2 linked regions of the Callithrix jacchus genome follow. The protein of the gene in region 2 purifies or fractionates together with the protein of the main gene of each other region. This does not show direct contact. Links are inferred from orthologs where the notes say so. Each region holds a gene or a part of one and is shown on either strand. Other genes may lie near its edges. The genes, in order: PCNT and CDK5RAP2.

Region 1 (4,291 bases), on a different chromosome or scaffold from region 2:
AAAAGAAAAAAAGAAAAAACAAATTTATTAATAAAAGAGTTGGCCGGGCGCAGTGGCTCACGCCTGTAATCCCAGCACTTTGGGAGGCCGAGGTGGGCAGATCACAAGGTCAAGAGATTGAAAGCATCCTGGCCAACATGGTGAAACCCCCTCTTCTACTAAAAAATACAAAAATTATCTGGGCGTGGTGGCTTGTGCCTGTAGTCCCAGCTATTCAGGAGGCTGAGGCAGTAGAATTGCTTGAACCCAGTAAGTGGAGGTTGCAGTGAGCTGAGATCACGCCACTGTACTCAAGCCTGGCGCCTGGTGACAGAGTAAGACTGTCTCAAAAAGAGTAAAAATATAAAAAATTATTTATTTATTTATTTTGAGACAGAGTTTCACTCTGTCACCCAGGCTGGAATGCACTGGCATGATCTCGGCTCACTGCAACCTCCCCCTTCTGAGTTCAAGCAATTCTCCTGCCTCAGCCTCCCGAGTAGCTGGGATTACAGGCGTGCACCATCACGTACAGCTAATTTTTGTATTTTGAGTAGAGACGGGGTTTCTCCACGTGGCCAGGCTGGTCTCCAACGCCTGACCTCAGGTGATCCGCCCGTGAGCCACCACACCCAGCCCTCACTTTTTATAACTAAAACAACACACTCTTTCCTCACATTTGAAAGGGAAAAATAGACCAAAGACCACCTTTAGTAAACCACACTAGAAATCACTAAGCAAAATGTTTAAAGACAACACTGCGCAAATCTACCTGAGCTGCAAAGGCCCCTCCTGCCCCATCAGGGGTGTGGTCACATGATGGGCTTTTGTAAATGTCCCCTCCTCCACGGGCTTCGCTGTGGTCCTTGGCTACCGGACTCTCCTCCTGGACAGGCGCAGCGACAGCCGAGCCCTTCCTCTTCGCCGTCTTTTTCTCCGAATGCGCACCGTCGCCTTTGGTTTTTCTCTGTCGGAAGTGAGCAAGCTGCGCAAAAAGGTAGATAAATAGTAAAGGCAGAGGTAAATGAGAAAAAAATAACAGAACCACAAAGTCAACAGACTGGTGGGGACCATGAGCCCGAGGGCTGACCCAGTCTACTGTGCCACAGCTGGCCAACAGATCGCTCTCCACAAACACTGCCTTCGGCAAGATCTATATCCAAGAGGACTGCTAATTACGCCTGACAGAGGAAAGAAAACTATACGGCTAATTGCCGAACAGCTTTCCTAGCCCTTGACAGTTTACAGAAAAATTGAACTTTAAAAAAATACGTCTACATAAAAAACTGATAGCTTAATCGAGGCATATTTAAGTTTTAAAATAATAAAACCTAAATCTCTCCCTTCTTGCCCCAATTTCCCCCCAACTGAAGAAATATATAGCCCAGCCAAAACTTCCTAGCCATAGATTCTGAGACAAGGTACAGAAATAGCAAAAAATTAATTAAGCCAGGTCAATCTCACATCTTCCTTTACGGAATCAGATGTTCTATTTTTCATGGCACAGCTCACCAAAGCACCAGGGACCTCCAGAGCATCGCCCATCAGAAGGCACAGTCTAGCTCTGCTCAGTCCTCAAAGCCGAGGGTTTAAGACTATGTGCGCGCCTCATCTCCCACTAACGTCTTACTCAAGAGGGAGGGGGTCCCACGTCAGCCTTTCACGGAGAGGCATCTGTTCCCTCAAATGATAACTGTGGCCACGTTTGTGTAATAAACGGAACAAACGTTTGTGTAAGTAACACAAGTACACAAGCTCCTGGACCCAGGAAGATTACACAAGGCAATTTGGACAAAAAATGGTCTCTCAAGGAAATACTTTATTCCAACCCAATCCCATCTCGTTTATTTTCATGCCCTCCTCCACCACACCTAACCATGAGGGGATAGCACAGACCTGGTCTGCAGCCGGGGTCGCCCTACAGGCGGCGTTTTTTCCCTCCCTCCCCACCCTCAACGCTCCCCAGGAGGCTCCGGGCTCCCCTTTCCCTCCTGCCCGCCTCAAACGCCGGGAGCCCTGCTCCTCCGCAGCACCCTGGCCCGAGCATCCGGGGAAGCCGGGCGCACCTCGCAGGGAGGCCAGCCTCGTCCCGGCAGCTCCCGAGGTTCCGCCTCGCGCTCTCGGGACCCCAGTTCCAGTGCCCCCGAATCAAGGGCTCTGCGCGCTTTATTCCCCACAAGAAACCCAGGACGGTGGCCATTAAACCGAGCGCTTTAACAGGGTGAAACCCGAGGCGGGATAAAGACGGGAACGCGTCCCTCGGAGAAGCCCGGCGCCAGCACCGCTGGCTTCCCGGCAGCACCCGGACGGGCAGGACGCGCGCCCAACGGCGCCAGGAGCGCCGCGGGGACCTTTCACACAGGAGGAACTGCGACGCCGCGGGAAACGCGCATGGGAAAGCGTCTCCGACGGACGGAGCGGAAGCGCGCCGTAAGGAGGCGCTGAGACTACCCGCGCCGCGTCCCCGGCCGCGGAGGAAACTGGCCCGAGACAGCACAGCCCCCAGAATACCGGCCGCCCACCCCAAGCCATCCGGGACCGAAGGGCGCAGGGGTCACTAGAGGATCCAGCCTGCGGCCCAGCACCCGCCACACCTCCTCCTGGTAGCCACACACCCCCGCCCCTCCCGGCGTACTCCGCGCCCGGCCTGTCGCCGACGCAGGCTCAGCCCCGCCCCGGCCTGCCCGAGAGGCGCCGCGCGTTCCAGCCGCTGATTGGCTGTGGCCGCGGAGGGGGCGGGCCCTAGCGGAGAGCGGCGGATTCAAGATGGCGGCGGCCAGGAGGCGGCTTCCAGCGGAGCCGGCGGGAAAAGCGAGACCTCGACGGCAGATTCCGCCGGGCCGCGTCCGCTCGTGACAAGGGGCGGTGGTGGACATCGGAGCCGCCCTTAGGACTTCACGCCGGAGCAGCAAGAGAAGAAGCCCCTGATGTTTACCTTCGCCCTCCCGGCCTCCACCTTTCTGCGCCGCTGCTCTTGCTGAGCTTCCATCTCCCTCAGACTCCACGCGGGCCGCCTGGTGGTGGCGGGGCTGACACCGAGCCGCCTTCGCTCTATTTACACTCCCTCCCCCGCACCGGGGCGCGCCCTCCCCCGCGACAAGTGTCACGCAGCCGTGGCCCCGCCCCCACCGCGCGCCGCCAATCAGGGGGCCGCGTTCCGAGTCTCGCGCACGCGCCCTCAGGGCAGTGCTGCCTGGGCGGAGCTCCGCCCTACTCGCTCGTCGGCCACAGATTGGTGCGCTCAGGACCCGCCTCCTTCGGCAGGGCCAGTAAGCGGAGCGCAGAGGCCTGGTGCCCGCTGTGATTGGCCGATTTTAAAAGCCGGCCGAGCCGCTATTTGCGTTGCTGGTCTCGCGTGGACGGGGACACTCGGTGGCCCGCGGGCCGGACCGCGGGCAGCAGCCACTGGGATAGGGCCAGGCCATTTTCCTCAGCTAAGGAGTTCGTTGTTGGCTGTGGGCCGCCGCGGGAGTCGAGCCGACTCCGGAGGAGACTGCTGAGGTGACCGAAGCCCGGACACAGTCCAGGGTCCGCACGGCCTGTGACCTGCGGCGGAGACGCCGGGGTGGGCGTTTTCTCAGCAGCCCGCGCGCGTGGACGGGACTCGGGGAAACTAACTGGAGCGGAGTGGCGGAGAACCATGACGGGGTGGGTGACCTCGCCGGGCCCTGTGGTTTCCTGTGCCGTGTTCTAAAGCGAATCGCCTTCTTCCCTGTGTCCAAGGCTGGTTTCTGGGTTTCTCTCTAGTCGCGCCTCCCTTGCAAACCCTAGGCGGTGGGGTCCGCGTGCTCGCGCTGCGGGCGGCCACGGCCCTTCCCCGAGCGTGCTGGACCCGAGCGCAGCGTGCAGCCTCCGCAGCGACTGGTGATTCTCAGCAACTGCGACTTAAATGCCCTTCGGGAAGCCCTGGAAACTCCCCCCTCCTGCCTCGGGCCACCGCCTTCTGCGTGGTGAGCAAGGCGTCCAGCAGCCTCCCGGTTCCCACACTCGGAACTGGATGGCTTGAGCCAGCTGGGCACGGAAGCGGGAGCCAGGCAGGCAGCGCAGCCGAGAGGGCAGGGGCTGTGCCTGCAGGGTCGCGGTTCCCACACTCGGAACTGGATGGCTTGAGCCAGCTGGGCACGGAAGCGGGAGCCAGGCAGGCAGCGCAGCCGAGAGGGCAGGGGCTGTGCCTGCAGGGTCGCGGTTCCCTGACTCGGACCTGGATGGCTTGAGCCAGCTGGGCACGGAAGCCGGAGCCAGGCAGGCAGCGCAGCCGAGAGGGCAGGGGCTGTGCCTGCAGGGTCGCGGTTCCCTGACTCGGACCTGGATG
Region 2 (3,801 bases):
ATGTGCAGAATCATGAACTTTTTTCTCTGTTCACTTTTTTCATATTATATCATCTTTTTGATTAAATTTTAAGATCCTTATCAATGAGAAATCAATGAACTGATTAGTTTCACTACAAGTTCTAAGGCAGACTGACTAGGTGCTCCTTAAGATTTATTTTTACTTTTTTAACTAGAGGTATCCAAGTAAAAGTCAGTCCAAATTTTAATACAATACTTGCTTATAAGCATGTTGGCATTCCTCATTCCACGGGATACACACATTGATGCTATTGGTGTCAGGACGACAATCCCAGGATACCCAAGACTCTAGAGGGTCTGGTGGGGTTCAGGAACAGCCCTGGACTCAAAGCTAGAAATGGTTTCTAGCGTCAGCTCTGCCACCTACTTGCTGTGCCACTTTCGGTAAGCACCATCCGCTCTCTGGGCCTTCGTTTTTCATCTCTAGAGCAGAGGATAGGCTGCCTGACTGCTCTGCGCCTGCCATTTACTGGTTTGCTCCACACGCTGTGGTGGGTGGGTGGCAGAGGTGTCTGGCCCTCTTTCTGGTACCCACTACAGCCTCTCCAGGGCTAGGCAATTAACCCACAAGCAAATGCAAAATAGATCTACTTTTTAAACCTATCAGGATGCTTTTCAGATCCTGAAAGACACTGAAAGCCAGATTAAGATGTTTAGGCTCCCTTTTAAAGGCAGTCAGAAAACTAAAAGAAATTTCAGCATCAGAGTGACATGAGCAGGACTAACTAGGAGGGAGCAACACCAGAGGCACTGAGGCTGTCTGGAAGTCCAAACTCCACTTCCCTGAGAATGAAGATGCCTCAGACAGACCACACCACTTTGCCAAAGGTGACTGCTAATTAATTAGCAGTCAGGTCCCCTGGCTCCTAGGCTACAGTGTGTCAGCTATCAATGGAAAGACACCTCTGTGGGGCAAAGGCATCATTCAGAAGTTCACATGTCACACACAGACGCTCAGAACTGCATGCTTAGGAAGTGGGGAGAGGCAGGTGCAGTACCGTGTTTGTTGGGCTGAAGGGGCAGCTCAGGGATGGACAGGGCTTGGGCAGCCAGAGTGAGGGCTCCTTCCTGTGCCTTCTCCGCCCCCCTCGCCAGCTGTTCCTCGAGCCTGCTCTGCAGTGTGCTGTTGGTTTGGATGCTCCTTTCCAGTTGCAACCGCAGAGCCTGGATCTCCATCAGGAGGCTGTGCAGGTCTGTGAAAGGATCCTGCCCCTTCCAGCCTTCTCCCGACGACTCTGTGGACATGTGCAAAGGGAAGCCCTGACATCTTCCACAACCACAGGGTCAGCCATCGAAGGAACTCAATCGTGTTTTACACCCGCCACCACCCTCACCCTCCCCCTTCCTAAGAACTAGGTACAATTTAAAATAACAACTTGACTTTAGAAACAAAAATATTGGCAGACTTAATTGCTGCTATTCCACAGGCTAAATAAGAGCTGGAAATTAATTTTCACTTCTGGCCATAAAAGCCTAGCAAATTGCACACCAAACCCCGAAATTATGTCTAGTAGTAATAAAATCTATTTGGGCTAGAATTATAGAATAAAAGGGGATGATTTTAAGAGCCACAGTATATTAAAAAGACACAATGGCAAGAATAAGAAAAGCAAGTTGAGGAGAAAAATAAAAGCTGTGAGATGACCCTTTTCTAGATAAACTTTCAATAGAGAGAAACCATCTGGAAAATTAGTTTTTAAAAAAAAAAAAAAAAAAACCTCACCACACCTCAAAATTGATTCTGAAACATTAGACTTTATAGTTGAGGTACTCTGATCTGGTATCTCTCTCAGGATATAGAGAGCACTGAAGCCAACAAGCATCCCCAGAGCAATGCCCAGCACATGAGAGGTGACCATAAATGTTTGCTGAATAAAAGGGCAAAAAGTAACACATAGCAAGATGACTGTAATAAAAGTCATTTCCTGAGTGCCTACTATGTCAGGTACCATGCTAGGATGCTTTTAATAAATGGTCTCATTCAATTTTTAACGTAACTCTCCACACAGCAGGTGCTGAGAAACATGTTTTATAGAGGCAGGTATGGGCTCAAAGGGTGAAGTGGCCTGCTGAGGGTCACACAGCCCAGAACAAGGGAGTGGGAACCCGGACCTCAGCTGGCCTGGTTGCTAAGCCTCAGTCCTTCCATGTTTCCTGCTGTTCCTTCAGAAGAAGAGTGGGCCAAAGCGCCAGCTTTAGCACCCATCTACTCTACCCACAAGGTCAGAATGGAGAGTGCTGAGCTCTGCCCACCTGTGCCTACAACCAGCTGCTGGGTGGGCTTACAGCCCAAGCCACAGTAGCCTCAAGATGAGAAGGGCCTCGGACCAGAGCCCCCATTACCTCTCGGTCTCCGGTGCTCTTCATCCAGCTTCTCATATGCCTTCAGCTCCACTCGGAGGGACTGCAATAGCTTGTCATTCTGTGAGAGCAGCTGCTGCCTCAACTTCACCTCCTCCTGCACCCTGAGAAGGCCCCACAGGGATGAGACGGAGAAGTTAATTCTACCTTAGGATCACTTATTCAAATCCCACAGGGTAGGCCAATTCCACCCTCAGTCACAAGAATGTGGACCAAGAAGTGACAAGCATGGTTAAGAATTCCAGTGACAGCCACAGTTTCTAATTGGCCCCTGCGTCCAGCCCCTTACCTATGTGATCTCATGTAATCTTCAGAGACACCCTAAAAGGTCGGTGCCCTCTGATCCTCAGTTCAGAGATATGAGGAAATGAAACTCAAAAAGGCTGTCTCCTACCCAGGGGTGCACAGCTCAGGAGGGGAGCTGGACTTAGGCCCAGGACTATCTGGTGGCAGAGACAATGATCTTGCTACCTCAGTGCACCACCCTGGGTGATGACAGTAACTCTTCAAGAGTGGGGCATTCACACGTGCCAACAGGAACAACTCAAATTTGGAAACGGACAGACTCAAATAGGGAAATGGCAAAAGGACAACTGGTGCGATCCTTTTAAAAACAACAGCAGATCCACGTTACTCTCTGCTCAGAATCTCCCACGCTTCTCATGCCACTCAGAGTAAAACCTGACGTCCTCACACTGGCTCTGTGGCCCGATGTGATTCGGTATCTCGTCCCCCAGCTTCTTGCCTCTCGGGACGCACTGCCCTGCTCTGTCGGGCACAGGTCTAAGCCACGCTGCCTCAGGGCCTGCGCCCATTCTGCCTAAAATGATCTTCCCCAGGTAGCTGCAGCACTCACCTCCTCACTACATTCACAGCTCTCTGTGCAAACAGCATCTTTTCAGAAAGGCCTTACCTGACTCGCCCTCGACAAAAAACAGCAACCCACTGCCAAGCCCTCTCCTCCTTACGGGATTGTTCTCCACATGTGGTAGGCCCACCAGATGTGAAATATGTTTCTGTCTACTGCCTGCCACTGTGCACTAGTGCAGAGGCCTGCATGCCTGATTCCACAACTGCAGCCCAGTGCGCGGATGCGTGATTCAGCCAGCAGGGCACCAGGGAAGCACAGCCACTACCTGCTCAGCTCCTGGCGGCTGTGGCGGGCCTCCTGGATCAGCTCCTGGCTGTGTCTCTCTTTCTCGCTGCCTTCCTTCTGCAGCCTTTCATTTTCTTCCTTCACACTGGCATACTCCTGCTGAAGGTGCTCCAGGCTCGCGGTCTTCCTGGAGAGGGACTCTCGTAATTTGTCATTCTCCTTCTGTTTATCTGCAAACACAAAAAGGCGCCACTGAGAAGGGCCACCATTTGTTTTTTCCAACCTTATTATATAAATACAGCACTTCAAGAATACAAAAAAGAA

The links.
Region 1: the proteins of CDK5RAP2 (region 2) and PCNT purify together in Homo sapiens (co-immunoprecipitation; 4 studies listed by BioGRID and IntAct, with this or other methods). This does not show direct contact. The link is inferred for Callithrix jacchus from reciprocal best matches to the Homo sapiens genes CDK5RAP2 and PCNT.

What each region holds. Positions count from the first base shown.
Region 1 is NC_133522.1:51,907,738-51,912,028, reverse strand, and holds the start of PCNT (pericentrin), read right to left. Parts: upstream 3,056-4,291; 5' UTR 2,969-3,055; coding exon 2,915-2,968; intron 2,606-2,914; exon of another isoform or gene 2,046-2,605; intron 965-2,045; coding exon 752-964; intron 1-751. UniProt on the Homo sapiens protein: Integral component of the filamentous matrix of the centrosome involved in the initial establishment of organized microtubule arrays in both mitosis and meiosis. Plays a role, together with DISC1, in the microtubule network formation.
Region 2 is NC_133502.1:168,799,700-168,803,500, forward strand, and holds part of CDK5RAP2 (CDK5 regulatory subunit-associated protein 2), read right to left. Parts: intron 3,708-3,801; coding exon 3,518-3,707; intron 2,486-3,517; coding exon 2,364-2,485; intron 1,256-2,363; coding exon 1,019-1,255; intron 1-1,018. UniProt on the Homo sapiens protein: Potential regulator of CDK5 activity via its interaction with CDK5R1. Negative regulator of centriole disengagement (licensing) which maintains centriole engagement and cohesion. Involved in regulation of mitotic spindle orientation.